Linked DNA regions of Alligator mississippiensis. The protein of the gene in region 2 purifies or fractionates together with the protein of the main gene of each other region. This does not show direct contact. Links are inferred from orthologs where the notes say so. Each region holds a gene or a part of one and is shown on either strand. Other genes may lie near its edges. The genes, in order: SART1, EFTUD2, PRPF3 and TTC27.

Region 1 (6,879 bases), on a different chromosome or scaffold from region 2:
AGAACAGATATCCCACGGTTCTTTGCAAAGAAACACTCTTGGATTCTGCCCCTAGAACTTGTATGCTCTGGGAGACAAAAGCAGGGATGCCGCTGTGTTTGGGTGAGTGGGTGCGAGGGTGGGGGCAGGATAGAAGGGATGTGGGCCAGGGCCAAGACAGCAAGGGGGCAGGGATACAGCAAAGGGGTGAGATTACCCTAATTTCTGATTGAGCAGGCGTTTCTCCTTGGCAGCCGCCAGCTTCTCGCGGATCTCCTCACGCTGCCGCAGTGCCATCGGGTTGATGACATCGGCCGCCATCGGGTCTTCCTTGGTGCCTGCCTCTGCGGGGGGGGGGAGCATACATGAAATATGGGTGTGCCCTGGACCCCCTGAGACTCCCTCCCCAGGCCCCCCCAAGAACCCATAGCACAGAGAACAGCTGGGGACAGGGCTGGGAGGGCCGGGACTGCACCAGCCAGGAGATGGGAAGGGACCGGGGGCGCTGAGAACTCAAGATACCTGGATTCACTCCAGGTCTGGAAGTGGAGTGAGGGGGTGGGGGGGGTGATAGCAGGGGGTGCTAGATCTGGATGCCTGGGTTCTCACCAGCTCTGGGCAGGGAGTGTGGGCTGGGAAACCAGATGCCTGGGGTCTCTCCCAGCTCAAGGATAAGAATGAGGCCTGGGGGATTGCAGCAGGGGTTGAGAGAGCCCGGACCCCTCGGTTCTCTCCCAGCTATTGAATGGGAGTGGGGGCTGAGGTAGGGAAAGACAAACACTCGGACCCAGATACCTGGGTTCTCTCTAGCTCCAGAAGGCAAGTGGGGGCTGAGGGGTTAGAGTAGGGGGGCTGGTAGGCTGGGTGCTTGGGTTCACTCCCCCCAGGCATGCTCAATACAGACTTACCCTTCTTGATGGTGCCCACTTCCAAGGGCTTCAGGCCCAGCTTGGCTCGGAGTTTGCTACAGACAGAAAGTGGTGACAGTCACAAAGTGCCTGGGGCTCAGAACCAGGGCTCCTGGACCAGCTCCCCTCCTTCATGACCCATCCACCCTCATGTACATTGGGGCTGTGACCAAGACTGATGTGTCACACTATTTATTAAACTGAGTATTAATGAATCAGGGTGGTGGGAACCCAGTAAGCCAGGGGTGGGCAATGACTTCAGCTAGAGGGCTAGGTAATGAGTTCTGGAGAACCACACCTGCTAAATCTTTTGCATCTCATAACAGGTCAGAGACAAAAATTGCATACAAAAACCCAGGCATGTACTATGACGCATTTTAGTTTTATTTCAAAAAATAATTTTTAAGCCTGGTCTCCGTTTCAAGTACTACAAAAACAGGCAACTGTATAATAGCTCAAAAATAAAATCTTACTCTTGTATGTTGTCTGAGCAGGGTGTTGAGGAGGATACGTGTATGTGGGGGAGGGGGGGTATCCATGGAGGAGTGGGTGTGGAGGGATGTGAGGTGCATGTGGAGGTGGGCTGCCTGTGCACTAGGTACCAGGAGCTGGCTGGGGGTGAGGAAAGGTTGGGGGGGGGGTACAGGGGACACATGTAACAGAGCTTGCCCCGCCGGGGTGGTGCAGCTGCAGTCATCCTCCCACTCCACCCCATTTGGCTGGCAGCTGCCCCCACAGTGCCCCGCAGGGGACTGAGCCCTGTCCACTGCCACCTGGGGCAACAGATGCCGCGCTCCCAGCTGCCCCGGCCCCAGCCAGGGCCCACTTCTGAACAGGGCTGCTGCAGCCGCCCAGGTGCTGCTCCTGCCCCCCGCAGCTCCTCCTCCTCCCTCCTGCCCATGCTGCGCTGCTCAGGGCAGCGCACAGCGCAACCAGCAAAGAATCTCCCTGCCTGATCTCACAAACAACTGGATCCATTCACCCCATTAGAACGAGATCCATTCAGCCCAAGATTATTATGGGAAACATGGGGTCTGGGCTAGCAGTGCCTACCCCCCTAGCAGGGCTCATAGCCCCTCCTCAGGGCAGCTGCACTTGCCAAGACCTGACCCATGGGGGGCAAAACAGGCTTCCCATGAGCTGAGGGCAACTAGGCGGGACTGGAACAAAGGCGAGGTGTTGCGCCCCGCTCGCCTGAGAGCTGTAGCCCCCCCCAACCCCAGCCCCAACCCCACCTGCATCCACGGGGTGAGGCACGACTGCACCACGGGAAGGTGGGGGGGATGGGAAAGGAGCTCTCACTCACTTGGTCTCCTCAATGCTGAGGGACAGGGCTTCTCCAGAGCCGCTCTTGAGCGCTGTGGCTGGTGCGGAGGGGAGCAAGGGGGAGACGTGAGTGAAGCCAAGAGAAGTCCCCTCTGCCCGGAACTTCCCAGCCAGGACCCAGCCCGAGCGTCAGATCTGCCACAGACCCGGGCTCCTCACAGCCCCCTCCCGACACCCCATGACCCCCACCCCACAGATAAGCCTCCACCCTCATCTTCACTCCTCCCCATTGCCCTGCTCCCCGAAAAGCAGCCCCTCCCTCACTCCCCCCCCTTTCCTGTACACCGCCCCCACGCCCCCCTCACCGGTCTCGTGCCCGTCCTCGCGCCGCTCGCGCTTGGCCCGTCTGCCGCCCTCGGCCTCGGCGGCCCCGCGCTCCCCGGCCCGGCCATGCCCGCGGCTGCTGCTGCCCCCGGGGGCGGCGGCCTCGTCCCCACCGCTGCGCCGCCGGCTCCGCTCCCCGCGGCTGCGGCTCCGCTTGCCCCGGCGCTCGCTGGAGCCCGACCCGGAGCCCGACCCGCCGCCGCGGTGCTTGTGCTTCTTGTGCTCCCGGTGCCGCGAGGAGGAGGAGGAGGAGGAGGCCGAAGCCGAGGCGGGGGCGGGGGCCGAGGCTGGGGGTGGGTCCTCCGCGGGCCCCGCCCCACCCCCGGCGGTCCCAGAGCCGGCCCCCGGCGCCGCCGCCGCCTCCCCGCGCTCCCGGTGCTTCTTGGAAGAGCCCATAGCGACGCAGAATGGCGGCCGCAAACCCTTCCGGGGTCAACCTCCCGCCGCTTCCGGGGTGAAAGACGTCCCTTCCCGTCTCGCGAAACACTCCTTCCGGGTCACGGCTTCTACATCCGGCGAGGTCAGGACACGGCTTCCGCGTTCGTCGCCACTACCTCCGGTGGACGTGGGGAAGGCTCAGTCACATGACTTCCGTGGTTACCGTCGCTACTTCCGGTCAGTCATACCACTTCCAGTGGCCAGCCTTACCTGCTTCCGGGAAGTGGGAGAGCGCTGAAAGCTACTTCCGCTTTGGCTCCCGCTAAATACTATCTTGTGCCCAGCCGCCGTCGGACTGTACCATTCCTGTAGTGGAAGCGGGGGTGGAGTGCCCCTGAGGGGTGGAGGGAGGCTACTCATCCTAGGCCTTAAATAACATTACCTTAATTGGGGTTGAGGGTTAACTCCCCCCATTAAAAGGCGGAGAATGGTATGGCCCATACACTGCTCTCGAGGCATGTAGGAACACATCAGTGGTAGAATAGGGAGAATTCTTATCCCCCTACTCAGGGAACAGTGGCATGACCCACGTATGCTGGAAGGGGGAGAATCATATCGGGGTATAAGGAGGAAAGATTCCCCCCCCCCCCCAGGGGAAAGGATGGTGTTATCCATTTGCTGCTCTGGATGCGTACAGGCAAATACCATTGGCAGTACAAAGGGGGCGATTACCCCTCTCCTTTACAAAAGGAATGGTATGACCCACACTTCGTCTGTAGGCGTGGGGGGCGGGGGGATACTATTAGGAGTACAAGGAGGAAACATTTCCCCTCGGGAGTGGATAGGATTGTATAATCCACATGCTGCACTAGATGCATATTGGGAAATGCTATTGGTAGTAGAAGGGGTGGAATATTAGACCCCCCCCAGAGGAAAAAGTGGCATGACCCACCTACTGCTCTGTAGGCACAGAGGGACATACCATTGTAAGTAGAAGCGTGAGGAAAATGTCCTTTCTCCCAATGGAAGGAAGAGATGGTATGATCCAGAAGGGGGGAGATTGATTTTCCCCACCAAGAAGGCATGGTACAATCCGCACAGTCTGGTGCATCCTTAATGGCATGTACCATTGATGGATCGTGGGGGTGGATTTTGCACCCCTGCAGCACAGCGCCCCCTGGCGCTGTATGAGGGCAGCGCCTGCAGTGGCTCAGTCTCCCTCCCAGCTGGTTGCCCAGTGCTGGGAGAAAACCCAGGCGCGTGGGCTCTCAGTCATCCCAGCTCTAAGCCCCGAGTCCGACGCCCCTCCCAGGGCACAAGAGAACCCGCTCCTGCTTCCAGCCCCCGGACTCCGCGTCCTTCCCCTAGCTCGAGAGCCCAGCCATCCCGGCTTCCAGCCCCAACTCCTCCCCAAGCAGGAAGAGAACCCAGGTGTCCCGGCTCCCAAGGCCTGTTTAATTCAGGGCAGAAGCTACGCTACTCCAGGGCCTTCTCAGGTGGATCCAGAGGTGGGTCTCGGCCCTTGTCCGCGGAGACCTGTCAGGAGGGCACAGCATCCGCCATGGCAAAGGAGAGAACCCAGGTGTCCGGGCTCCCCCCTTAATTCACCAGACCCTGCTCCTCTCCGATAGCTGGAGGGAACCCAGGCGTCCGGGCAGGGGGCTCCTGTTCATACCTGCTGAGGGGGGGCCCTGGTGCCCCGCCTGCCTCCACAGCCCGGCCTCCTCGATGCCCAGCGCCTCCAGCACCTGGGAGAAGCGGTGCTCTATGGCCCGGCGGGCACCGGCCTGCAGGGCAGGGGCTGTCAGCTCCCAGCCGCCCCAGCTGTAACCCCCCAAGTCCCACGCCCCTCCCAGAGCACGAGAGCACCCAGGTGTCCGGGGCGGGACCCGCACCTGCATGACCCTCTCAAAGAGGTAAGGCCGGCTGCTCACGCGAGCCTCCATCTCCCGCAGCTGGGCCTTGTACAGCGCCATGCGCGCCCGCTCCTGAGACCTGGGGGGGCAAGTCACATAGGGGGCAGGTTACAGGTGCCACCCCCACCCTCCCAGCTGTCAGGGGACCCCTGCAGACCCTCCTGCCCTGGGCTTGGGCTCCTGCAGGGGTCTATAGGACTTGGGATTTCTTGGCAAAGTCTGTAGGGGCCGGAGAGTCTATAGAGGCTAGCTAATCTCAGAGGATCTATAAAGGCTGGGTGTTCTCTATTGGCAGGAGCCATGTAGTTTTCCTAGAACGGCTGTGATCTGTAGGGAATTGATAAGGATTGAGGGGTGTCTATAGGCCCTGGGACCTATAGGGAATCTTTAAGGGCTTGGCTTCTATAGTCTGGGCTCTATAAGGGCTGGGGGTTCTATAGGAGGGGGAATCTGTAAGGGCTGAGGAGGTTCTATAGGGCATCTGTAACGGCTAGAGATTCTTTAGGGATTGGATGTCTACAGGGTAAGAGCTGGGGGTCTACAGGGCACGGGGCTATAAGAGGTGGGGAGGTTCTATAGGGCACATATAAGGGCTAGGGGCTGTGTAGGGGTTGGATCTTTAGGGTTTTATTGGGTCATAGATGCCAGGGTCAGAAGGGACCTCAACAGATCATCGAGTCCGACCCCCTGCCCGGGGCAAGAAAGAGTGCTGGGATCAGATGACCCCAGCCAGGTGCCTATCCAGCCTTCTCTTAAAGACCCCCCAGGTAGGGGAGGGCACCACCTCCCTCGGCAGTCCATTCCAAATTCTGGCCACCCTTACCGTGAAGAAGTTTTTCCTGATATCCAGCCTAAATCTGCTGTCTGTCAGTTTGTGACCACTGCTCCTTGTTACCCCAAGAGGTGCCCTGGTGAAGAGAGCATCTCCGATCCCTTGCTGCGTCCCGCTAATGAATTTGTAGGCGGCCACAAGATCACCTCTCGCCCTTATCTTGCAGAGGATGAAGAGGTCCAGGTCCCTCAGTCTCTCCTCGTAGGCCTTCTCCTGTAAGCCCCTGACCATACGAGTGGCCTCCTGTGGACCCTCTCGAGTCTATCAACATCCTTCTTGAAGTACAGCACCCAAAACTGGCTGCAGTACTCCAACTGTCCAACCAAGGGGAAGTATCACCTCCTTGGATCTATTTGTCGTGCATCTGCTGATGCACGATAAAGTGCCATTAGCTTTGCTGATGATTTCGTCACACTGCCGACTCATGTTCATCTTGGATCCACTATGACTCCAAGATCCCTTTCTGCTTCTGTGCTGCTGAGAGGGTCACTTTCCAGGCAGTAGATGTGCTGGATATTTTTGCACCCTAGGTGCAGCACTCTGCACTTGTCCTTGATGTACTGCATCCTATGGTGTACTGCCCACTTTTCTCACTTCTCCAGGTCTACCTGCAATTGTTCCCTACTCTCCGGAGTGTGTACTTCACCCCACAATTTAGTATCATCCACAAACTTGGACAGAGTACACCTCACACCCACATCCAAGTCACTGATGAAGATATTGAAGAGTCCAGGTCCAAGGACTGAACCCTGCAGGACCCCACTACCCACGTTCATCCAGGTCGATACCTACCCATCTACTACCACTCTCTGGGTTCGACCGCTGGGCCAATTTGCCACCCACTGAACCGTGTAAACATCTATGTCACAGCCTCTTAATTTATTTCTGAGAATAGGATGAGATACCGTATCAAAGGCCTTGCTAAAGTCCATGAAAACGACATCCACCTCTACTGCATCTAAGCATTTTTTACACAGTCATAAAACGAAACCATATTGGTCAGGCATGATCTACCTGCTACTAATCCATGCTGGCTGCCCTGTTGCATTACTTTTCCCGCTGGACTCCCACAAATATGATCCTTCATGATCTTTTCAAAGACCTTTCCAAAGATGGAGGTGAGACTGACTGGCCTATAATTACTCAGATCCTCCTTCCTCCCCTTCTTGAAAATAGGGACCACGTTGGCCCCTTTCCAGTCCTCCGGGACCTGACC
Region 2 (7,871 bases):
GCTGCCCAGCCAGGGCAGTGAATGTGACCCTGCAGGCATCTTGGCCAGGGAGTATAGGGAGGGGGACGGCTCCCCACCGCTGCGCACACCCACAGGAGAAACATGGGGGGCATGTGTGCCCCGGATTTGTGCACGGGGCATAGTATTTACCAGTAACTTTACTGGTAATGCACCTCTCGTATTTACCAGTAACTTTACTAAGCGTTGCTAGGGCAGTGTGTCGTGCTGATGTCTGCACTTCAAGAATGATTTTAACAACATGAGAAGAGTTCAAAGAAAAGTCATGAGAAAGCTGAAAACATGCCTAATAGAGCCACAAGATCAATCTGTGCGGCATAAAGAAAGTGTGAGAACAAGATGACTAAGGAGCAACCTGTGTAGAGAACAGAAACATAACCAGAAAGTTACTGCCTTGGCAGTTACATTAATAGGATTCCAATACTACTAAAAGGCACAATGGCTGCACCTTCAATTTGCAGCAGCTTTCTCCTCAAGGCAACCCCCACACACCCCAACTTTCCTTCCCTCCAGTGGCAAACCTGGGTGGAAAGTGAAAGAGAAAAAAAATACAGGAGAGCTAAACCAGATGTGCACTTAAAAAACAAAGCCAAAAAACTATACAGTACTCACTCCATCTCATATACAGTGACAGGTAATGCCTGCTCCATCAGGGAGAATTTCTTGGTTTTCACAGGTTTAATTATTGGCTCTGAAACCAAAATAAAATTTTACAGTGAAAAAAAATGTTCTTAAAATGCTGATGTTTGGAGACATTAACCTAAGGCATTAACTGAGACAATACTAAGCATATTACTAGACCAAAAAAAGTGATATTTAAGGTTGATGACACCACTTTAACTGCTTTATTTGGGGAAGATTAAGACATAACTGAAACAGATTTTCATTTGCCTTCTTTTAAGATCTTTTCAGCCACAGTTAGTGTATGCTCTGCACATCTCACAACAGAACTCCTCTGGCGTTCGCAATGGTGCACTGATGCCTCTGGGCATCTTTAACAAAGTGGAAAGAGTCTTGGGAGTTTGGAGGTTGAAAAGGATTTTTATAAGGCAAATTAAAACTGGTAAGGAGCCAAATATTTGGCTCATTTGCAGGCTTAACTCAATTTCCATTATCACTTTTTTCCCTTTAAGCAGAGACTTGGTTCTTTTACTTTATGAATTAAATTCTTTTTTGTTAATACTCTCAGTAGAATTTCTATTAAAATGCCAAAGACAAAACAGACTGAATGTCTGAGAAGATGCAAGTAATACCACCACCAGCAGGATTTCAGAGCCTTTCTTCCTTCCATGATTGCCAACAAAAACCTTTCCTGATCAGAAATCTGATTTACTGACTATAATTACTTACCAGTGAGAGGCTGTGTATCCTCTTCCTGCACTATAGTCTCTACCTCAGGCCCATAGACCTCTTCTGCAGTGGGATAGTATTTCTTATCCTCATGCAGTACCACCTCCATTCCAGGGTGATCTTCATCATGGTCTCCCATATCGTCATCATCGTCATCATCATCAAGCTGAAACCGACAACAGAAATACTTTATCCACCCAACAATCTCAAAGAGCTTTTTAGATGTTAAGATCCACAAAACCCCTTCTAAGGTTTGTATTCTCAACCCCATTTTAGGATAGAAAAACGCTTGTGGTCACATATCAAATCATGAGCACAGGTGGAAGCCACACTGACTTACACCAAGATTGGGACCTGCACCGGGACTGAATATCTCTAGCACTGATCAGAAACAGGTCCAGACAGGAGTGCTGACAATCTCTCCCAATTTTTATTTAACAGCCATTTTCCCCACCTTGAATCCATTCCAGAGGCCACTGCCAAATGCAAATATTCACTGGATGTGGATGATTTAGGAGCATCATTCCTACATTCATGCAGGTGTGGTTGGACCAGATGGTCCCCTGAAGTCCTTCCCAACCCTGTGATTCTGTGCAACCACAAGATGTTGCCTTCTGTACATGTACATAGGCTACCAAAGTTTTGCCAAGCAAGCAGCAAGCCAGGCTACGCTCCACATCAAAGCACAATTGCAAAATACAGCACATGAAACTCTAACTGTATAAGATTTGTTCAGAAAACTGTTTGATCTGTTCAGGTCCCTCCTGACCCTAGCTACTATGAAACTATGAAGAATCTGCGTGGTAAACTGGTGACTATTTTTCATTTGCCTGTAAACAACTCTGAACAACCACACCATTAGGAACATTGTTCTGGGTCATCAGGTGCAGCCCCTTTCACCACACAACACATCCCAGTGACCATGCCTCTGCTCTGGGGTTATAAACACTACTTCTGTCTCTCCATTATATCAGGAGGCAAGGCCAATACACCCCTTTAGGAAGTAACTAAGACACACACACATGCATATAAAGAAAGAGTGAGTGCATGCAAGCTTTCATGGGCTGAAGCTCACTTCATAAGTGAAGCAAGTGTCAGCTCGTGAAAACTCGCTCGCTCTCTCTCCGCCCTTCTCTCCCTCTCCCCCACTATCCATCTGACCTAGTGCAGCGGTTCTCAACCTTTTTTGCACCAGGACCCACTTGTAAACATCAGTGGCCAGTCCTGACCCCTCACGCCCGACCTGCTGCCTCCTGCCCCCACGCCCCAGCCCCCACTGTGTGGGGCAGGGGGGCCCAAGCAACCCCTTGCAGGTTGGACCTCTGCCTGCAAAAGCCAGCTCTCAAGAGCGGAGAAGACGGGAGAGAGTCTAGAGGGCCCCGTCTCCCGGCGGCCCCCCGCCCCCCGCGGGGAGGGGCCGCACCTCGTCCACGTCCTTGGCCTCCCGGCCCAGCTCGTCGTCGTCGTCGTCCGAGTCGAGCTCGGGCCCGATGTAGTTGCCGAACTCGTCGTACAAGTCCGTGTCCATGGCGCCAAGGGGCGAAAACGAGGCCTGTCTCCGCCTCCCCTCCCGAAAGCGGCCCCGACACGCACCCGGCTCCGCTACCGCGCGCCTGCCCTCCCGCGCGCCGGCCGCCGTGCGACGCTCGCGTCGAAGGACCCCCCCCCCACCGCGTGGGGGGTGGCCAAGCTGCCCGCCTGAGGGGCTGGTCACTTCAGTGCCCCTCCACCAGGCAACCGCTGTGGGGAGAGCTCGGGGGCTGGGTGGGGAGCGGCCGGCCTGAGTTTTGGGGGGAGGAGTGTCTGGGTTCCGAGCAGGCGCTGGGTGGGGCAGCCCCGGCTGGAAGGGGCCTCGGCGGCGCGTCCCGCTGTTGCTATGGAGACGGTCGGTGAGACGGGGAACCAGTGTCGGGGCAGCCCCGGGGCCGGGATCGGGCCCGGCGGGGAGCGCTCTGGGGTCCGAAGTGCGGCGTGACAGGGGAGACTGGACAAGATGGACTGGTGGTCTGACCCAGTCAAGGGCAGTTCTTGTGTTCTTCTGAGACTTGTCTCAGCTGAGATGGAACGCAGGTGCCCTGGAAAGTTGGGCCCAACTTCAAAGTCATCATTTCAGATTGGGGTTTGCATGAACTCACTGTATAATTAATAGAGGTGCACCGATAGATTTTTGGGGGCCGATACCAATGGCCGATTTTTAACGAGCCGTTTCAGCCGATACCGTTCCAATCGCTGATGTGCAGCCGGGCAGTGTGGAGAGCAGCCTCCCGCTGATAAGTCTGTTGTGGGGGGAGGGAAGGGCCGTGGAGGGTGCAGACTGAGGACCCCGCGCTGAGGGAGGGAGTGGGGCTGGGGGGCCCAGGACGGAGCCAGGAGTGGCTCATTTGGGAAGGTGTGGGGTGGGGGGTGCAGCTCCCACCGCTGCCCATACCCTTGGGGGGGCCATGCGGGGCGTGTGCCCCCGCATCTGCGTGCAGGGCTAGGGCAGGTTGGGCCAGGGCTGTGTTGAGCTCTTCCTGGCAGGGGGGCTGGGCTGGGCTGTGCTCAGGGTGGGCAGTGGTGGCACTGGGTGGGGCTAGGGGCGGGGCTTCAGCCACCCCAAAATTTGCCATAGCCCTCCCAACTTCCCCTCCCAGCACTGCCGCCATCCTCCCCAAGCACAGCCTGGTCCAGCCCCCCCACCTGGGAAGAGCCCAGTGTTGCCTTGGCCCCAGCCCCCAGCGGCAGCTTGCCCTCGGCCTGCGCGCAGATTCAGGGGCACCCCCCCCCCATGCCTCCCCTGGGGGTGCGCACAACAGCAAGAATCACCCCCTTTCCCTGTGCGCGGCCAGTCCTGCACCCCGGCTTTGCTGGGCAGCACCTGCCTCTGCCCCAGCCCCACTCCCTCCCTCACCATGGGGGCCTCAATCTGCCCCCCCCTATAGACTTACCGGCCAGACCCGTCTACTCTTCATGCTGCCAGGCTGCACTCCTGGCTGCCTGCATGCTGTGCTGCAGCTTCGCGAATGTATGGGGCATTTATTGGCCACACCAGCCAAAAAAAGCCGATACACTCAATTTGCCTTATATTGGTGCTGATCCAATATGGGACCAATGTATTGGTACACCTTTAATAATTAGATACGTGCAGCAAGTCTAACAAGAGTTCAAGTAATATACAGGATGTGAAAGAGCAAGGAATATTCCCCTTGCATGGTGCTCATGCACCCCAAGTAATTCTGGCTTGTGGGCAGATAGAGGTCATTAGTCATGTTAGTCTGAAGTCAGGCAGCAGGCAGGGTAGAATTGCACCTTGTAGATAAGCGGTGTCAAACTCACCTGGCACTTTAGGCCAGATTTAGACCCCAAGGTCTCTTGGGCTGGATCTGCAAAGCCAACGGTGTGTAGGGCAGGGGATGAGGTAACTTGGTTTGGGGGCTGGTGACAGCATGGGTCCAGGGATGAGCACGAGGCAAACGAGGGCTGTATGCACACCACGCCTCCTAGCTATGCTGTCAACTTCTGGTAGCCTGCTGGACTACCAGCAAGCCAGATGGAACAGTTTGATGGGCTGGATCCAGCCTGCAGGCCAGACGTTATAAAGTAACTAAATCAGAGATGCAGTTATACACTATATTAAAATAGTGTGTAAAAGGGACTTACCACTTATAACTGCTTCATCTTGTTTATTCTCATCCCAGCATAAACAGAATTAAACTGAATGAAACAGGTGTAAAGTTACACTGATACAGAGAGGACAGATGAAATAGTTAAGTTGGTTCAGCATGAGTCACAGTAAACTGGTATAATTGTTTGGTCTGTGCATGCCATTAATTATGTTTTGCTCTCAGGTTATCATCATGGACAAATCTGGAGCAATAGATTTCTGTGCTTTGGAGAGAGAACTACAGGCTGCTGTTGCTGCTGATGAAAAGTACTGGAGAGAAAATGATGCCAAATTTCGAGCTGTTCACCAGAAGGTGGCATCCTATGAAGAATTTAGGTTTGCAGGCAACTTGTTTCATGTGGCGAGTCTGGAGTTGGGAATACAACAATCCAGTGTTTCTTTCATCAGGATGAAAGTTTGTATTTCTGAGTGTCATGTAGTGACACTGTCTGCTCAGAAGTTGTATTGTCATATCCTCCCACCTGTGTGAGGAGGACTGAATCTGTGAGAGTGTCTGAAGCAATAAGGAGTATGTGTGACCAGGTCCATGTCTTTCACCCACAACTCAATGGCAACACAGTTTCTTGTGATAGGAGCTCTTTGTCTAGGCCAACTTGCTGGGTAAGGGACGTGTAACTCCAAAAGCTCTATCCTGCAGCTTCTCAGAAAAGTCATGAGATATTCCTCTCTGTGGGGAAATTACTCAGACCCTAGGAATCTGAATCAAAACAAGATGTGTTAAAAACAAAGAAGAATGGAATTAAAAAGAAAGGAAAGGTTTATTTAGCACCCATACTATAACATTTCTCATAAAGGGGACTGGCCTTCGCAGCACAGATCTTACACACATTGCCAGCATAAGTGGCAAACCCCTCTAAAGTGGATGTGGTTATACTAGTATAAAAAAAGCTTGTATTAGTTTGATTTGGGAACTAGTACAGGCTATATATTGATGTAAGACACCTATATTTTCATTTAACTGCATCTGCTAGAAAACTGAGAGAACAAAAACCATACCCTTAACCAACATCATTTGGCTGGAAAAACTTTTATTTCTAGACTGGGGTGCTCAACCTCTGGCCCACAGGCCAATAGTGGCCCATGGAGCCAACTCATTTGGCCCATGGGGCTCCCCACAGGTCCAGAAATGTGATGGTGGGGGAGCAGTGAACATTAATACAGTCATTCTCCCTGCTGCCAAAACCCCAAGCCCTGTGCAGCTGTTTAGAGCACCCCATTTCCTTTCACCCTGTTTTTGGATTATTGGAGCTGGGGCACCCCTTCCAACCCCTTGGGGCCAGGCCACCACCACCCCAGAGTTGGGTTGGGGCCTGGCCACAATCCCTTCCCCTGCAGGGCCCAGTCAACTTCCTTTCCCTGCAGGATTGCGTTGGTGTTGATGTGGAGGGTATTTGCTCTTACAGGATTTTGCTTATAGGGATATTGTGCAGGCATCACACCTGAAGCCCCTGGAAAAAAAGGATAAATTTGGAAAAAAGAAAAACCTACTGTGGAATTCCTGTGCAACCCAAGCTAAGTGCCAGCAGAACAGCGAGGTGGAAATAGCCCAGGTGAGGAAAAAAAACAGTCTATAAACTTACTAGGGAGGACCAGCGTGGTTTGGGAGAGACCTTGTTCCGCCGAGCGCCTCCCAGAGTAACAAGGAATAACGGCCATAAGTTGCTAGAGAGTAGGTTTAGACTAGACATTAGAAGGCGCTACTTCACAGTCAGGGAAGCTAGGATCTGGAACCAACTTCCAAGGGAAGTGGTGATGGCTCCTACCCTGGGGTCTTTAAGAGGAGGCTCAGCATTTACCTGGCTGGGGTCATTTGAGCCCAGTTTTCTCTCCTGCCCAGTGTAGGGGGTCGGACTAGAAGATCTACAAGGTCCCTTCCGACCCTACATCTATGAATCCTCCATCACTATTGGTTTGTTGACATCTGAAAGTTATTGCAGAACAAGATAGCGTGTGAAATTCAAAACAGACCAGAGGCCATTCAGTAGAGAAAGCAGTGGATGTTAGGTTGCAGAGAATGAGGATTCGAAAAAGCAGGCCTCCCCCAACCTGAGGAAAGACCACTCAGAAGAAATAGCAGTTCCATATGTGAACAAGCCCTAAACAAATCCCAAATATTGAAATCTCTTGAGTAGATCAGATCTCCATTTAGTCCTACATCCTGTCTCTGCCACTGTTCCCTTATTGCCAGGGTGAAAACTAGCCTTTTACTCCTGAACTTTGTTTGCTGTCTCTTCATTGGCTTCTGAGCCATAGCACTATTTTACCTTTCTTCCTGTGACTTCAGTTACCACAGGTGACCTGTTTTGTGTGACCACCATCCATTCTTTCCTTGGAATGAAATCTCAGCCCCATTGAAGTCAATGGGAGTTTTGCCAGTTTACTTAGGATCCCATACCCCCTTACACACACATACATTCAGACAGTCATCAGTGTGTACAGACTAATGAGAGGGATTTCAGAAGTAGAAAGGAAAGGAAACAGGAGAAGCCTGGTGCTCACTTATTGCTGTTGGTCTTTTCTTTCCAGGGGTTGGACCGATTACCTGAAACCTCTTCAGAATTCTACAGAGATTGGCGCAGATGCTTAAAAAGTGGGCAAGAAAAATACCAGTTCCTACTGCAGCTCGGAGGCACAGGCCTGGGCAAAATCTTTCAAGCGGATCTCGGCTTTGGCCTCCTGGGCGAGTTCCTCAGGTTGTTGGCAGAGAATGTCTGTGGTGAAGACAGAGAAGCCACCCTGCATATCTTACAGAGCCTTTCAGAAACTAAGCGCTTTGGGCTCAATGTGGATCTCCTGAGCCAGGTGGAAAAGGAGAGCAGTAGGGACTTGTTTGAGAAAC
Region 3 (7,496 bases), on a different chromosome or scaffold from region 2:
CACAGATGGGGAAGTTGAGGCACAGAGACAGAGAGGCCAATTCCACCTCTCTCTTCCAATCAACCTTCTCTTATTGACACAAGGGGAACTCTTGAAGGCTCAAAGTCCACCCCATACCAGAGCAGGGTTATTCCCTACAGCTTACTTTCCAGCGCACTGACCTCATTAATTTCAAGTGACGACAGTACCTGAACCTGCAAGCCAAGATCTCAGCATTAGGAAACACTTCCTGCTATTCAGCTGGAGTTCGTCCAGTCATTCCCACCCCTTCCTTTCCAGTGAGAACAGCTTGTACTGCTCTAAGCAACTCCCCTTGCCTCTTCCTTTTAATGACCTGCAATACAGGTCACCCTGGACAGGCTTATGAGGTGGGTGGACATCAACGTGATGACATTCAATACAGAGAAATGTAAAGTGCTCCATCTATGGAGAAATAATCCCCAGCACACTTACAGACTTGGCAGTGCTATGCTTGCCAGTACCACAACTGAATGAGACCTGGATGTTATGGTAGACAACAAAATGAACACAAGCCACAAATGCGATGCTGTAGCTAGCAGAGCTAATCAAACACTGGCATACATCTACTGAGGCATCTTGAGCAGGGCAAAGGATGTCATCCTCCTGCTCTACTCAGCCTTGGTGAGACCACAGCTGGTGTACTGCGTCCAGGTCTGGGCGCCGCACTCCAGGAAGGAAGTGGAGAACCCTGAGAGTCCAAAGGAGAGCCATGTGCATAATTAGAGGCCTAGAGACCAGGTCATACGAGTAGAGGCTGAAAGACTTGGGGCTGTTCAGCCTGGAGAAGAGAAGACTCAGAGGGGACTTGGTGGCAGCCTATAGGTATATCAGGGGAGAACATCAGTGCCTGGGGGAGCAACTATTCACCAAGGTCCCCCAGGAGAGGACAAGAAATAATGGGCACAAACTGATTGAAGATCGCTTCAGTCTACACATAAGGAAAAACTTCTTTACAAGTCGGGTGCCGAGGGTTTGGAACAGGCTCCCTCCAGAGGTGGTGTAGTAACCCACCCTTGCAATCTTCAAAATACATCTTGACACACACCTTGCTGGGGTATCCGATTCCAGCAGTCTTAACTGCCTAAGGGGCTGGACCCGATGATCTGTAAGTTCCCTTCCAACCCCTAATGACTATGAAGCTATGTTTCTAATGTTCCCCTCAACTGATTGCCAAAGGGAGTCATCCTATTGCAGACCTCCAGTACTGTCTTGATTATGAGGAGACATTGCACATTGTACAATACTGTATTTCCTCACAAATCACACCCCACCCCCAAATCAGACATGCATCTTAAGGCTGAATTAAGGGGAAAAAAGGTGCTTCCAGAGTCAGGGCTGAATCCTGAACATCACTGCTCAGCCACAGCTACATTTTTAATCTTCTTGCACCTGCTACTGAATTAGCAGCAGCTTCTGGCAGCTTAGTTAAAATTAACTGTGACACCAGAGAAAGAAGCAGAGCTCCAGCAACCATTACAGTGTCTCCATGCTTCTATTCTGACACAGAAACCAGCTTCCCTTCTTAAGACACCCACTCCGCTTTTGGAGAGCTGCTTCTTGGGAAAAGGACATGTGCAGCATGCAAACAAATACAGTATTAGGTAAAACAGCTTTTCCCCTGAATAAAAATCCGTAACTACAGATAAAAAAAACAAACCTTGAATTGCTGCTGCCCCTACAAAATGCCAAAGGAGACTCAAACTGCAGCAGAAAGGACCCAAAAGGTTAAATGCACTAAATACACCAAAACGAAAACTGCACTGGAAACAATAATTCTGACTTGTTTTTGTTTTTTTTACTGCACAAAAATACTACAAGGAAAAGAAAAAAAATCAGACCAGGCTGAGAAGCCTGGATACAGCCAGAGACTGCAAATAAACCAAGTGCCAATTGTAGTAGGGTCCTTCAGAGGCCAATTTATAATCAGAGCAATACAGTGTAGCTGTTAGATATGAACATTACCTTTTCCACCCTTGAAATGTAACATGAACATTATTTTTTCCACCCCTGAAATGTGACCGATACATTTAAAAGTTAGCGTCTGAATTTATGAATGGTTCAGATCCTCATTGCTGTGACCTGACAACACCCACTGGGAAGACGGGCAATGCTGGGTGAAGCTGTGAGACCGTGGTTGCTTCTACATCCATTCTGAGCTCAGATTCGCTGGGCTTCATTTCGCTGAAGCTCAGTTTTATTGCTTTGGGGTCACAGGGAGTTCTTTGCTGAGCTTGGAGGGCCTGTCATGATCAGAAGCCAATTTTCTTCAGAGGGTAATCACAGATCATAGTAAAAGCAAGCCAGAATGTGGTCTCTTTGTCTAACCTCACTAGACTGAACCCTGCTAAACCCAGCCAGGTTTCTCTTGATCCCCTCCGGGTGACGCATAGAGGGGAACAGACAACCCAGACTCATCAACTTTTGAAAAATGGCCCCTCTGACTTCCCTGTGTCCTCGTCTCCTTCGTCATATAGAAGGAAGAAAAGAATCCAGTGTCCCAATCCCGAATCTACTGGGCTAACCACTAGAACACAAGACTGATGGTGCGACACACTAACAAAACCCCCCTGCCTGCACGAGTGCCAAGAACATGACTGGTTCATACATAGGGGGTTAGGTCTGTGTTGTGCCAGGGCTGACAGTAGCCTTACGTAGAGTTTAGATGATGGATTGTATAGAATGGCTGGGACAGGACTGATCCTGCCTCAGGACTAGATGTGACCCCTGGAGCTCCCTTCTAACTCCACTGCTCTAGGGGGGGATTCTTTGCTTTAAGAGCATGACATGAAATCCAAGCTGCAGCTCAAGTACCAGCAGAGGGGGTTCAGGGAGGAATCCTTCGGCTCCCTGTTAAAACACAGCTGCCAACAGGGCCCAGCAAAGGCGGCCACTGCCTCTTACTTGTTCAGTGACCTATATGCCGCCTCCACATCCTTGTTCTGCACCATCACTGTCCGGGCAATGAATTTCAGGTGACTCGCCATGGCGGCTGTGGAGGCTGAGGCTCAGGAGGCACCGGATCGTGACTGGTCTCCACTGCACCACAAGCGGGGACCTAGAAAGGTGGGGAAAGAAAGCCACAGACTTAGACTCTTAGACAATGAGGGTGGGACGGGAGCTCGGGAGGTCACATCTAGTCCAACGCCCTGCTCCAAGCAGGACCAGCCCCAACTACATCATCCCAGGCAAAGCTTTGTTCGAACCAGGCTTTAAAAACCTCCAAAGACGGAGACTCCAACACCCCCGGGGGGAACCCGGTCCAGCGCTTCACCGCCCTCCTCGGGAGAAACTTTGTCCTAATATCCAACCTTGACTCCCCCTGCTGCGACCGGAGCCCATCGCTCTTTGTCTGCCGCCTGCCCCCACTGAGACCAGCCCAGCTCCGTCCTCTTTGCAACCCCCTGCAGGGAGCTGAAGGCTGCTGTTCAACCTCCTCAGTCTCCTCTTCTCCAGACTAAATCAGCCCAGGTCCCTCAGCCTCTCCTCACCAGTCCTGTCCCCCAGCCCCACAGACACTTTCCTTGCCCTCCGCTGCACTCTCTCCCACGGGTCCACATCCCTCCCAAAACTGGACCCCGGGCTCCAGATGTGTGTGGCCTCGCCAGCGGGGAGCCGCCCTGCAATGAGCTGGCCGCTCCCGCTCATGCACCTCCATTGCCCCTGCCTGCGCCCAGCGCCCCCCCTCACCCCCGCCTCCTGCGCCCTGCCGCCCCGGGGCTGCTGCAGGGCTGGGGGCACTGCCCCTTTGCGGGGAGGTGTCTCGGGGGGACCACGCTCACCCCGTCTCGCGCCCCCCAAGGTCCACCGGGGTCACAGGCGCCGCCACCGGAAGCGGAAGTCGCGCCGTCCCGCCCACTTCCGGGCGCCATGGCAACCGGGCCCACGGGGTTCTGGGAGGGGGGAGTCTAGGGCGGGGGCGGGTAAGAGGAGGAGTGGGGGTACTTGGAGCAAGAGGAAGGGCTGGGGGTAAAAGGAGGGGGTGGGCACTGGGGCAATATCAGGGGGATAAAAGGGGGGGTGGGGGCACTGGGGAAAGAGGAGGGGGCAGGGGGCAAAAGGAGCGTGTGGGAGCCTGGGGGCACTGGGGTAAGAGGAGGGGGTGGCGCAGGGGGTGCTGCCTCGGCCCATGTCAAGCACCCACTGCCCCCCTTGGGCACTGCCTGCACGGCGCCCCCTTCCTCTGCAGGCAGGGACCAGGGCGATGCCCCCCGCCCTTGCTGAAACGAGAGCAGCCTGGCCAGGCCCAAGCGCTCCGCCGTCACGAGCCTGGCCCCGAAGCAACCAGCTGGGCTGCCCGTTTTTCGGGGGGCTGTCTGTTTCCCATACCATGCTCTGATTCCACCTTTGTGTCATTTCCTTCATCCCCCCGGGCTAGATCCCCATTGCTGTTTAAGCAGAAGCAGAGAAGATTGCAGCATGGCATGATCCCCTGGCTCCGGGAGCTGGGGCTTTAAGGGAAATACCCGCTAGGGGGAAATCGTGGAAGAGTCAGGCTGGCAGGGCCCCGAGGAGGCCGCAGCCCCCTGCTCAAGGCAGGATCGGCCCCGTCTAACCTGTTCTTGGAAACATCCAAGGATGGAGATTTTGCCACCTCCCTCAATAGCCTGTTCCAAATGTGGCAGGCCAGCCAAGCCTGTTGAAACCAGCCCAGATCTTTACAGCAGTGAGAGACTGATATTTGCACACCAGTGTGGGATTACACCATCAAGCCAATCCCATATTTCAGCATAGTCTGCACCTCCGTGCAGGAGGTCCTGCAGGTGGCATGGGTGTCCCAATTTGTCCTGGCATTGGATCATTTTTGTGTGTCAAGGGGCAGGGCAGTTGAATCAAACTCCTCCCGATGAGTGATCCAGGGAGCCACCTACATTTCAGTGACCGGGTCACGGCATGACACATGAATTAGCCAGCAGTGCCCCAGAGATGAAAACAGAGGGAGCCAGGAAGTGACAGGAAGGTGAATGCACTGGGCAACCAGGTAGGACAGATTAGATGTGACTTTGAGCAAATGAAAGAGAAGCGCACGCAAGATGCCAGACGAGGTTTATTTATTTCCCCTCAGGAGTTCTGCCAAAAGTCAGACGTCGGTACAGCGTGATTCTCTGCTGAGCTGGGGAGCAAAGAGCGTTCTGCTTGTTGAAGACACGGGGCAGCAGGCACAAGTAAATGCACTATAAAAGGCAGGTTAGATAATCACTCTGTCAAGGAGCATTTATGATCAGGGCAGGGTTTGCAGTTGGGGCTTCTGAGTTCCCTTCCCAGCTCTGGCCCTGAAGGCATGTCATCTCCCTGGTGCTCTGTATCCCTACAGGAAAACAAGGTCAAATAACCCTAACCCTACCTGGGGGCTGGAAAGCCTCATTCACTGCCCTCTGTAAAGTGTTTTGAGATCTCTCATAAAAGGCGCATCTGCTGAGCAGCACGGAGAGGTCACATTATCTGCCACTGCCTGTTCATCAGACCCACTCTACCAAGCCAGTATTTAATGTATCTGTCAGGGGGAGGTTACCAGCAAGACTAGGATGCCATGAGACCAATGCTGGTGACATACTCCCCGAGATCAATCAATATCCGATTAATAAATGGGGAAAGCCGTCATCCTCTAGAGCACTGGTGTAGCACAAAGCCCTTCCTGAGGGCCAAGGCTCGGGACTGAGAGGCGCCTGGGGAGCGAAGTGCCCTGTTTATTCACAGAACAGTGGAAGTGAAGGAGTCCCCAGGCTCAGCACCACCTATCACAGCACAGGGAAAATGGTAGCTAGTGAAGTGAGGTCCGGTTAAAATCCTCTGGGATTTTAGGAGTCCCCAGTCCCACCTCATTAAAAGCACCGGGGGAATCTTAGTTTAGCTTCAGTTCAACTCAGCACCCTGTTGCCCAGCTGTCAGCAAAAATCAGGTTAGATGTCTCACCTTGGGCTCAGCCCTGAGATTCAGCAGGGATACTATGAAACAGCCTCTCCTACCATATCCTGATGCTTCTGGGTCCTGAACCACCCTGGAGCAATGAAAGATAAAAAACATCAGAGCCTTCAAATCATCTCCAGTTGGCCTTTAGTCATTGTCATAGACTCCACTAGTTTAAATCAGGATCTCTACAATTCTCAGGGACCCCTGACCCCATCACGCATCCAAATCTGAGTCATAAGTGCAGAGGTGGGTCAGCACTTGTGGGGCTAGAACTGTTAGCTATTAAAATGTAAATGAACCCAAAATGTGCATCCATTTGTGGCTGCGAAGGAGGGAGGGAAAGGAGGGGGTGGTGGGGACACAGCAAGAGCCAGCAGCTGGGAAACGAATCTGATTGATATCCCGTTAATAATCCAGCGGCTTTTTAATGACAGACCCTGTTATTATGGGCTTTTATAAATGGGCTGTAAAAAATTCAGTAAGGCCTGAAATGCAACAGACTAGGTCTTCTGGGGTGAATGTTCCTTTATTTTAAAAGCAGTTTTTTAAAAGGGGAGAGAGGTCTGAGAACAGGATGGAGAGCCAGGATTCCTCAGTGCTAACTTTGCCGCGGTGGGGTAGAAGTTGCTGCATTTCTCTGGGTCTCAGGGTATGGCTATTCTGTGAGTCTACCACAGCCTAGCTTTAAACTAGCAAGCATGGGCATTTCTCATAGTTTGTGAAGGTAAAGAGCTCAGTGCAAGCTACCTACCTCCAAATAACCCCTCCTAGTACCCCAGCCAGCTAGTTTAAAGCTAGCTTGGATGTGTATCTCCTCTGCAAGGAAGAGAAACCCTTTATCTTTCCCCCACCTCAAAACCAGAGAAGGTAACACTTCCCAGTCTTGCAGCCAGACAGAAAGGTGGCTTGTGTTTGCAAAGTGCTTTGGAAAGTAACATCCTAAATATTATTAGTACCTGGTCAGCATTACTCTATGTTTTCACACATCCCCCCAGCTAAGACCTGCACTTTGTTTTGCAGAGGCAGATTGAAGAAGAAAAAGGATTTTTCCTTTTAACTGAATGGCTCAGAATCCATTTCTTCCTTTAAGGTCTGCACCCCAATTTTCACTTGCTAATTTTAAGGGACGGAGGTGAGTGTGGTAGGTGGGTAAATAAGGTACATGCACTAAGATGGTGTTGCACACCAGTGGTGAGAACGGGCCTGGCTGAGCTGTTGCACTCTGCTGGGTTAAAATCCACCTTAGAAGTGCCTCAGCGCAGATCTGACCAGCAGACCAGACAGATTCAGCAGGGGGCGAAGAAAAAAAATCAGCTCCTTCAGTTTTACGGGGCAAGAGATTCTTAAAAATCTCTCATTAGAGAGGTAGCACCGAACCTCAGATACCACTTACCTTGAACCACCAGCCAGGAAAGCAGCCTCTGTGGACTCCCTGTTGATTCCTCCCTTGCATCTCATGCTTGCTCAGATCACTCGTCAGCAGAGGGTTATTTTTTGTTTTTGAGACATGCTGTCAATGGAACCCAGTTTCTGCCATTTGAGGCTGCTCCCCACCCACTTCCTCCTGC
Region 4 (7,423 bases), on a different chromosome or scaffold from region 2:
AGCACTCTTCCCTGCTTATGCAGGGGGTCGGACTCGATGATCTATTGAGGTCTCTTCCGACCCTAACATCTATGAATCTATGAATCTACCCCTTCCTTTCTCCCTGCCCCTTCTCCTCCACAGATTTATTGGCTGGAGGCTGCTCTCCAAACTGCTGTGCTGCATTCCTGTAAACTGGCTTTCAGATCAGTAATGTCTGGTATGGCTGGTCAATAATCGGCCATCAGTAAGTGGCCAACAAAATCTTTAATCAGTGCATCCCTAATAAAGTTATAACAAACTGCACATGTAGGAAGGCTTCTCAAACAGCCTGACTCAACTTCAGAAATGCAGGCACAAAGCAAAGCATATTCACATATCAAGAAATACTAAGAATCTTGTCCAGGACCTATACATCTGCCCTTCTAATTTATTAAGCATCAAGATTAGCTGATGCCACTCATGCCAAATTAGCCAGTGCCTCATTCAGGAAAAGAGTCTTCCCTTCCTCTTACAACCTCTAATACTGCAACCAATCCTGAAGCAAGTCACACTAGCTACATCTGTTCTGGCTGACAATGGCCCAGAATTAAACTTTCTGCTCCTGAGCAAACTCAAGATACTTACCTTTCAACAAAGGTGTAACTACAAAGTATGTAGACATATCCAAGCTAGCTCAGGTAGCAGAGCTAACACAAAGGCCTTACACAGCAACATCCCCTTGTTGCACTTTCTGACATCTCTGGTTGGTTGAGAATCTGTCTGGCAAATGACAGCCTGACCTCAGCTGTATATATTGTAGTCCAGATGGGAAGTAATAACTGGGCATGAAGCCATCACCCCTTACAATAATGTAACTAATACAGAATGCTAACGCACTCTCTTCAACAACACAGACAACTGCAAGAACATCAAACCTGTGTTTCATTCTAAACAATGCTAAGTCAAATTTAAGGTCTTCAGCAGGCTGGACACAGCATAGCTAAGCAGTTGAAACTCCACTCCTGCCCACCCCCAAAAACAGAACAGCACCCTCTACAAAAAGGATGAAGCTCACCTGGTGCAAGGGAACACTTTGCACAAAAGCTAAGGACTATGAGAAAGCTCACCACCTTTTGCCACAAGGGACAGGGGTACCTGACAGACAGATAGCAACACATGCTCTATCAAACCGCGGCACTACATAATTAATGTTCTTACTGTCCAGAAGTGAAAGAACAAATCATGTGAGAGATGCTTAAAAAGCACTACTAGATGGTGCTTGGATACTACACTGGTAAATACGTGTAGGAACCTAAATGAAGCAGGTGAGACCATCTGAACAAGGGTGAATTCACCACCTGTAGGAGTGCGGTAGGCAAGATATACACAGCGAGTTGGGGGTGGTGCAGCAGCCAGACTCAGCTTCCCAGCTACCCCCATGGTGGCAGCGGCTCCTTCCAGCTGGTTCTTCCAGGTCACCACCACTGCCAGACCCAGCCCTGCTGCCCAGGCACCCACACCCACCACCAGGGGGGCCAGAAGGTGTGGGGCAGAATCCATGGAGACGGGCCTGAAACCCCCACGGCAGGGTGCATTCGGCCAGGTGGATGGGACGGAGGAGTGGGCAGGCAGGGGTAGCATCCAGGAGCGGGCCAGGGCTGAGATCGTGGGACAGTGGCTGCACAGAGCTGGAACGCTCCCCGGGACAGAGCCACGATCCAAGCCCCACATGTTCCTGCCCACAGAACTGCTGCCTGTCACACGGACATGTGAGAAGCAGATTGCAGCTCTGCCTCAGGCCCCAGACCTGCACTCTCCCCACCATCCCAGCCCTGGCTCTGTCCACCCATCCCACTCCTGGCTGCTGCTCCCAGCCCACCCATAGCCCCATCCCAATCTGCTGGGCCAAGCGGGTCCTGCCAGCAGTGGTCCGAGGCTGGTCTCTATGGAGACTCCATCTGCCTACCCACTCCGTCCAATGCCCCCAGCGGTGGGTGCAGGGCAGACAGCCCTAGGGCCAGATATGATCAATTGCTCCCTCTGCACAACAGCTCATCAGAAGTCATTAAGTGGCCTTCCAGCCCCAATAATTGACTGCCTCTGTGCTGGAGCCACCTTGAAAAGTCTTTTTTATGTTCTATGCATCCTAAACATTTCAGCAAGTGGGAACATGACCACGGTCCTTGGGAGCTTATCTGTGCTCAAGGTACACCAGCAGAAGAAGAGATTAGATTTAAAATCCCACTAAGCCTCAGATAATAAAAATGAGACACTAGCGGCTTCCTCAAACCTTCCCAATAAGAATCCATTTCACTCTAGCAGGAAACATGCACAGCACAAGAGGGACCCAAACACAGGATAGGGCAGAAACCAGGGCAAGCGCACTGTGCAGACAGACAAGTTCAGAGAGGCATCAGTTCCCCTCCACAACAGTTTACTTCACCGGATGCTGCCACAAGTCCTCCCTCGGTGTGGAAGGGGCCACCTTGCTCTAACCAATGCCTGATTTCAGGGTACAGCAGCAGAGCAAAGCACCTCTCCAAACAGAGATGAGCATTTTGTCCCCATGCCTCCCGCAGACAGGGCACTCCCTCCTGCCTGATTTCGGGCTCAAGTCCGAGCCCAAAATCAAAGCCAGCGCCCTCGGCTGGCTTCAACTAGAGGCATCAGCACGAGTGTGCCGGGGATCTCCGGGCTGCCGGGGGCCTACCTACCCCGCAGGTCCCGACAGCCCGCAAGCCCCAACACCTGCAGTAGCAGCAGCACGGGCTCCACCCCGCGCCCAGCGAGGCGGCTTGAAGCGAGCTCGGAGAGCGCCGGCCCCCCACGGGCACCAACAGCCGCCGCGGAGCAGCTGCGCCGAGCCCCGGGCCCCTCTCACCTGCCGCCGCGGCTTCCCCCTGCTGCCAGCCCCGAACCTCCGCCGGGCTCGAGAAACCACACAGCAGTGCCCGCTCCAGCGCCAGCTGCATCCTGCCGCCCTCCCAGCACACGTGCCGCCACCGGCCTCAGGGCGCCGCCATGACACCCGCGCACGGCATGCTGGGATGCAGGAGTGGCAGGCGCAGGCGCAGGAGCGCCCTCGCTCTGTGGGGCGGGAGCTGCGTTCTGGGCGTGGCGGGGTGTGCGCTCATGGTGCTGGGTGTAGGACCTTCAGTCCGTGTACAACGTGCAGTCGATAACAGTAAACGCGTTCAAAACCGAGGATTTGTTTGTGCCCAAAAGCCTGCAATTAAATATTTATTTTATTTTTATAATTTTTTTTTTTTTGCCAAAAATCTTGTTGGCTTAGTAAAAGAGATTGTTTCTATCCGCCAGCCCTGATTGCTCAAAACCTAGGATAATTTTTGAGGCAGTTGCTACAGCACATACAATGCCTAAGTCACTCAGTCTTAACCCACTGCCCTGGACCTTGGCTCCTTCACCCCCTTACGCTCCTCGGCCCCTGGCCACAGTCTCGTACTTTTCGGGCTCCTCCACACCCCAGGGTGCTGGACCCAGGCAAGGCTGCTCCTTTGTTTCTACGACCCAGGGGGTCCCGGACCCGGCAAGACTGCTTGCATGCCACTCCTGGGCCTACATCAAGGATCCTGCTGGGTCCCTGACCCAGGCTAGGCTGTCCTTGTGCCATGCAGCCCCCACGTGATACCTAACCACTACAGGGCTCTTTGGAGGGTGACTCCGTACCACTCATCAGAGGTAGCTACAACCCAGTCCTCTGGTATCTTAACTGTAATGCAAATTCAAGCAACTACTTCCAAGTCAAGTCTCCCCCACTCTGGGTTTATTCCCTGGGCTGGCAAAATATGTCCTGCAGGCTGGATCCAGCCCACCTGGTGATGACATCCAGCCTGCCGGGCCCCTCCAAAAGCTAAAAGACAATTATCTCTGGCCCAGAGCCCTCAGCTGCACGTCTGAAACCCAGTGCCTCCATACAGGATGCACCAGCACCTAGTGGGGCAGTAGCCCTGGCTGCTAAGCAGCCACCCCACCCCACCCCACCCCAATTGCCTCTATATACACTATGCAAACACACACAAATCAGGACAAAAATATTTTTTGAAATAAAATTAAAATATGTTATAGTAAATGTTTCATTTTTAGTATATGATTTTTTTCCAGTTCCAAGATAGCAAAACCCCTGCCCTCTTGAAGGTTTACCTTAAATCCTGTCTCCTCTATGATTTTTAGCACTCTACCTGTTCACTCCCTGCAATCTTCTTCTGATGTACCAGCAATTAGGACATCATTCACATAGGAGACCACCTGATGCTGGTCTGTTGCATCCAACTTTTCCCACATTTTTGTCACATGATCATGACAAATAGCTGGCACACTGTGGAATCCTTGTGGTACTCTGGTGAAGGTGTATTGCTGTTCCTTAAAGGTAAAAGCAAATTTATACCATGAAACTGGATGGAGGGACTAGCAAAAAAAAAACATTTGAAAGGTCCAGCACCGGAAAATACCTAGCCCCACCCACTATTGATGCTATCATTTCTGGAAATTTATCAGCGATGGGGGCTCTCATAGGCGTTACCTTATTCAAGGCCCTATAATCAATTGACAGTCTCCAAGTTTTTCCATCTGCTTTTCTTACTGGCCAAATTGGACTATTATTAATACTAAACATTTTCACTAATACACCTTGCATTCACTAATACCTCCCTTCCCCCCAAAAAGAGTACTTCTAGGGGCAAGGGGAAGGACTTCCAGCAGCAAAAGTCAGGGGTTGGGGCAGGACTTCTGGTCCCAAGATAGCGACCAGGGAGTGGGACACCTTTCAAGGGGCAGGGCTACCCTTGTGGCCATCGACAGCTTATCAAAACTCATTAAGTGGCCCTCCAGGCAAAATAGTTGCCCACCCCTGGTTTATACCATCCTGCAAGCCCTACCTCCTTTTGAGCCCTCACCTCCCAACTCTCATGGCTGTATTTCCAAGTACTAGCCTGCTGTGGAGTCTATCAGGTTTGTGTGCCCTAATAGGGGCACACTTGTAGACACAGAGACATTTGCTGCAGAGCTAATTAGGCAGCTCTGCAGTAAACGTCTCATGGAGAGAGACCCACTGTGTTTGACGGCCCTGAGACAGTTGGAAGCTTTTTGAAATGTTGCTTCTTCCCTGGAGTTCCATCCACGTATTTTAAACAAATAAATTACAATTCCAAGATGCATCAAGCTTGTCCATATATCTTGGGAACGTTCTGCCACATAACAAGAAAATCCAGACAGTTCTGTAATTCTTGAATTTGCTTTGAAATGAATAAACTTTAAGAGGAAGTACAGATATTATAAGTGTATCAATATCAAATCGATACCAAAAGAATACCAATATATGCTATTATGATGTCAAAGTGAAATTATTCTATGGATTATTTTTCTTTTCTTTTCCAGTGGCAAGGCTGCATAAGTAAAAATGTGGGAGAAAAATGTACACTTTTTTAGCACCTCTCCCCCCACACCTCCCACACAGCAGAGGGAGAGGCAGGTACCAGAGTGTTCAGGCTTCATGTTAACTGCTCACAGGCAGTTAACGTGGGCTCTCCCTAGGTCCCATGCAAGGACAGCCCTGTCCCCCTGGGCGTTCATGGGTTTCACACAGCAACAGCCCTTCTTATATTGTTCAATGTGTTACATTTTCAAAGATACTGGACAAACTTTATGTTAAGCACTACTAAATTGCTTTTACAGTTATTTTCTTAACTACAGCTATCATTCATTTTATATAGACACTGAACAGCCATCAACTGGCAACAAGTTTCTGAAGCTAGAATGGATTTAAGTCTGGTGGCAAAAGGTTGTAGAATCACCTACCACACCATCAGTTTCCATCTTCTGTTTTTGTAAAACTGGGAAATGGTTGCAGTTTAAAATGTACTAGTAATTACTAAACCTGTTTGGAATAACCATGATAATATGCTGTCTCTTTGTGTTTGTTTTAGTAGAACCTAAATATATTGTCTCTGTTTCCTGAAGGCTCATGTTTGACAGCTGTATTGGTATACCAGAAATCATGTTTCAGTGAAATGAGGCATTCAATAACCCATTTAATTGTCCATTTTATGTTGCGTCTGAGCTTTACCCCAACTTTAAATTGACTTACATTTTTGTATAAAGAAGGCTGCATGTAGTGTGTAGATTTTTTTTTGTTTGTTTGTTTTTATTCCTCTTGTCCCTGGACAAGCCTGTCTGCATCTTTTTTCCCATTGTTATCCCTATATTTTTTTTTTTAAGTGGTAGTCAAAGGTTAGGTTTGTTTCTTCATTGTTCTGAGGAAAATTGCACTGTTTTGAGGCAGCTAATAAAATGACCTGCCTCAACAACTTACAGATCAGAATTTACTTAAATAGATTTTATTCTCCAAAATCAAAATGATCAATTCTTAAAATTAGCCTAATTGACAGATTAAAATAAAAAATGAATGCCCCAACCAATGTTCACTGTCTCATGAAAACACTGACAAGCAATGACTAAGACTTTAGTTAAAAGGGAAAAAATAGACTTACATTGTTGATATATTTTTTAGTTATTTAAAATGAAATTTCCTTTTGGAATATTTCTGCTTCTAGTTCCCAGAAGGTAATGAATTCTGAATGGTAATAATTTGTAAATGTTCTTCATTGTGGTACTTTGACTGGTGCTTTTATTTTCTTTGAATTAGACTGTGTCACAGGGTACCAAAAACATTTTTTATAAAGCCTGCTTCACAGGCAGTCTGCCCAGCTCCTGTCTGCCACACCTTGATGTTAGTTGTTATAAAGAGTGCAGGAGACTGCCTTGGTCTTTTTGTAGTGACCCCTGTATTTGTGGTCAAGGCCGTATGGGCCAATTGTATGGCTCCATACCTCCCCTGCACCATGCCTCACAGGGCATCCTCACAGATGTTCTACCAGTGGCTTATGCAGCCCCTCTCTGGGTCTTCTGACCCCTCTGCTTCTCTCAGCCCCACTCTGGCCCTCAGACCTCTTGGTCTCTCCACACAGCCCCTTCCTGCGCTGCAAGACACTCAGTTTCCCCCTCAGCCCCTCTTGGGTTGTCAGACCCCTGAGTCTCTCCTCCAGCCCCTCACACAGCCATTCCCTGGGCTACCAGGCTCCTTGGCCCCTCTCCCAGCCCCTCTGGTAGCCCCTTTGGTCTCTTGTCCTGGACCCTTTTTGGGTGTCTCCAGGCCCTCAGACTGATCCAGTCATGCACTCTGTTCCCAGTACCCCACTATTCCCAGGCCCAGTGCTTTTCTGTCAGGGTGTGCTCCCCTAGCCTTCTCCTTCCACAGCATAACCCACAAAGGAGTGAGAGCTGAGGCTTTCCAGCATCCCATACTCACCTTTCCCTGAAGTGGCCCATGCATGGCATTTCATGGAGGCTGCCCTGCCATAGGCAGCCCCACTATGCTAACCAGCCCCAGTAGGGTACAGTTTCAGGTCTTACCCAGGATCAGTCTCTGGCCTTCCTGGCCTTGCTC

What was found.
Region 1: the proteins of EFTUD2 (region 2) and SART1 purify together in Homo sapiens (affinity purification with mass spectrometry; 4 studies listed by BioGRID and IntAct, with this or other methods). This does not show direct contact. The link is inferred for Alligator mississippiensis from reciprocal best matches to the Homo sapiens genes EFTUD2 and SART1.
Region 3: the proteins of EFTUD2 (region 2) and PRPF3 purify together in Homo sapiens (affinity purification with mass spectrometry; 3 studies listed by BioGRID and IntAct, with this or other methods). This does not show direct contact. The link is inferred for Alligator mississippiensis from reciprocal best matches to the Homo sapiens genes EFTUD2 and PRPF3.
Region 4: the proteins of EFTUD2 (region 2) and TTC27 purify together in Homo sapiens (affinity purification with mass spectrometry; 5 studies listed by BioGRID and IntAct, with this or other methods). This does not show direct contact. The link is inferred for Alligator mississippiensis from reciprocal best matches to the Homo sapiens genes EFTUD2 and TTC27.

Annotation. Positions count from the first base shown.
Region 1 is NC_081838.1:4,484,797-4,491,675, reverse strand, and holds the start of SART1 (U4/U6.U5 tri-snRNP-associated protein 1), read right to left. Parts: upstream 3,019-6,879; 5' UTR 2,934-3,018; coding exon 2,519-2,933; intron 2,252-2,518; coding exon 2,194-2,251; intron 944-2,193; coding exon 888-943; intron 324-887; coding exon 197-323; intron 1-196. UniProt on the Homo sapiens protein: Plays a role in mRNA splicing as a component of the U4/U6-U5 tri-snRNP, one of the building blocks of the spliceosome. May also bind to DNA.
Region 2 is NC_081827.1:161,814,718-161,822,588, reverse strand, and holds the start of EFTUD2 (116 kDa U5 small nuclear ribonucleoprotein component), read right to left. Parts: upstream 3,007-7,871; 5' UTR 2,897-3,006; coding exon 2,792-2,896; intron 1,535-2,791; coding exon 1,369-1,534; intron 710-1,368; coding exon 631-709; intron 1-630. Other genes in the region: CCDC103 (coiled-coil domain-containing protein 103), read left to right, coding at 3,362-3,487, 5,196-5,347, 6,450-6,582, 7,559-7,871. UniProt on the Homo sapiens protein: Required for pre-mRNA splicing as component of the spliceosome, including pre-catalytic, catalytic and post-catalytic spliceosomal complexes. Component of the U5 snRNP and the U4/U6-U5 tri-snRNP complex, a building block of the spliceosome.
Region 3 is NC_081838.1:18,909,550-18,917,045, reverse strand, and holds the start of PRPF3 (U4/U6 small nuclear ribonucleoprotein Prp3), read right to left. Parts: upstream 3,011-7,496; 5' UTR 3,006-3,010; coding exon of another isoform or gene 2,923-3,005; intron 1-2,922. Other genes in the region: MRPS21 (small ribosomal subunit protein bS21m), read right to left, coding at 2,923-3,005. UniProt on the Homo sapiens protein: Plays a role in pre-mRNA splicing as component of the U4/U6-U5 tri-snRNP complex that is involved in spliceosome assembly, and as component of the precatalytic spliceosome (spliceosome B complex).
Region 4 is NC_081824.1:167,463,354-167,470,776, reverse strand, and holds the start of TTC27 (tetratricopeptide repeat protein 27), read right to left. Parts: upstream 3,014-7,423; 5' UTR 2,934-3,013; coding exon 2,843-2,933; intron 1-2,842.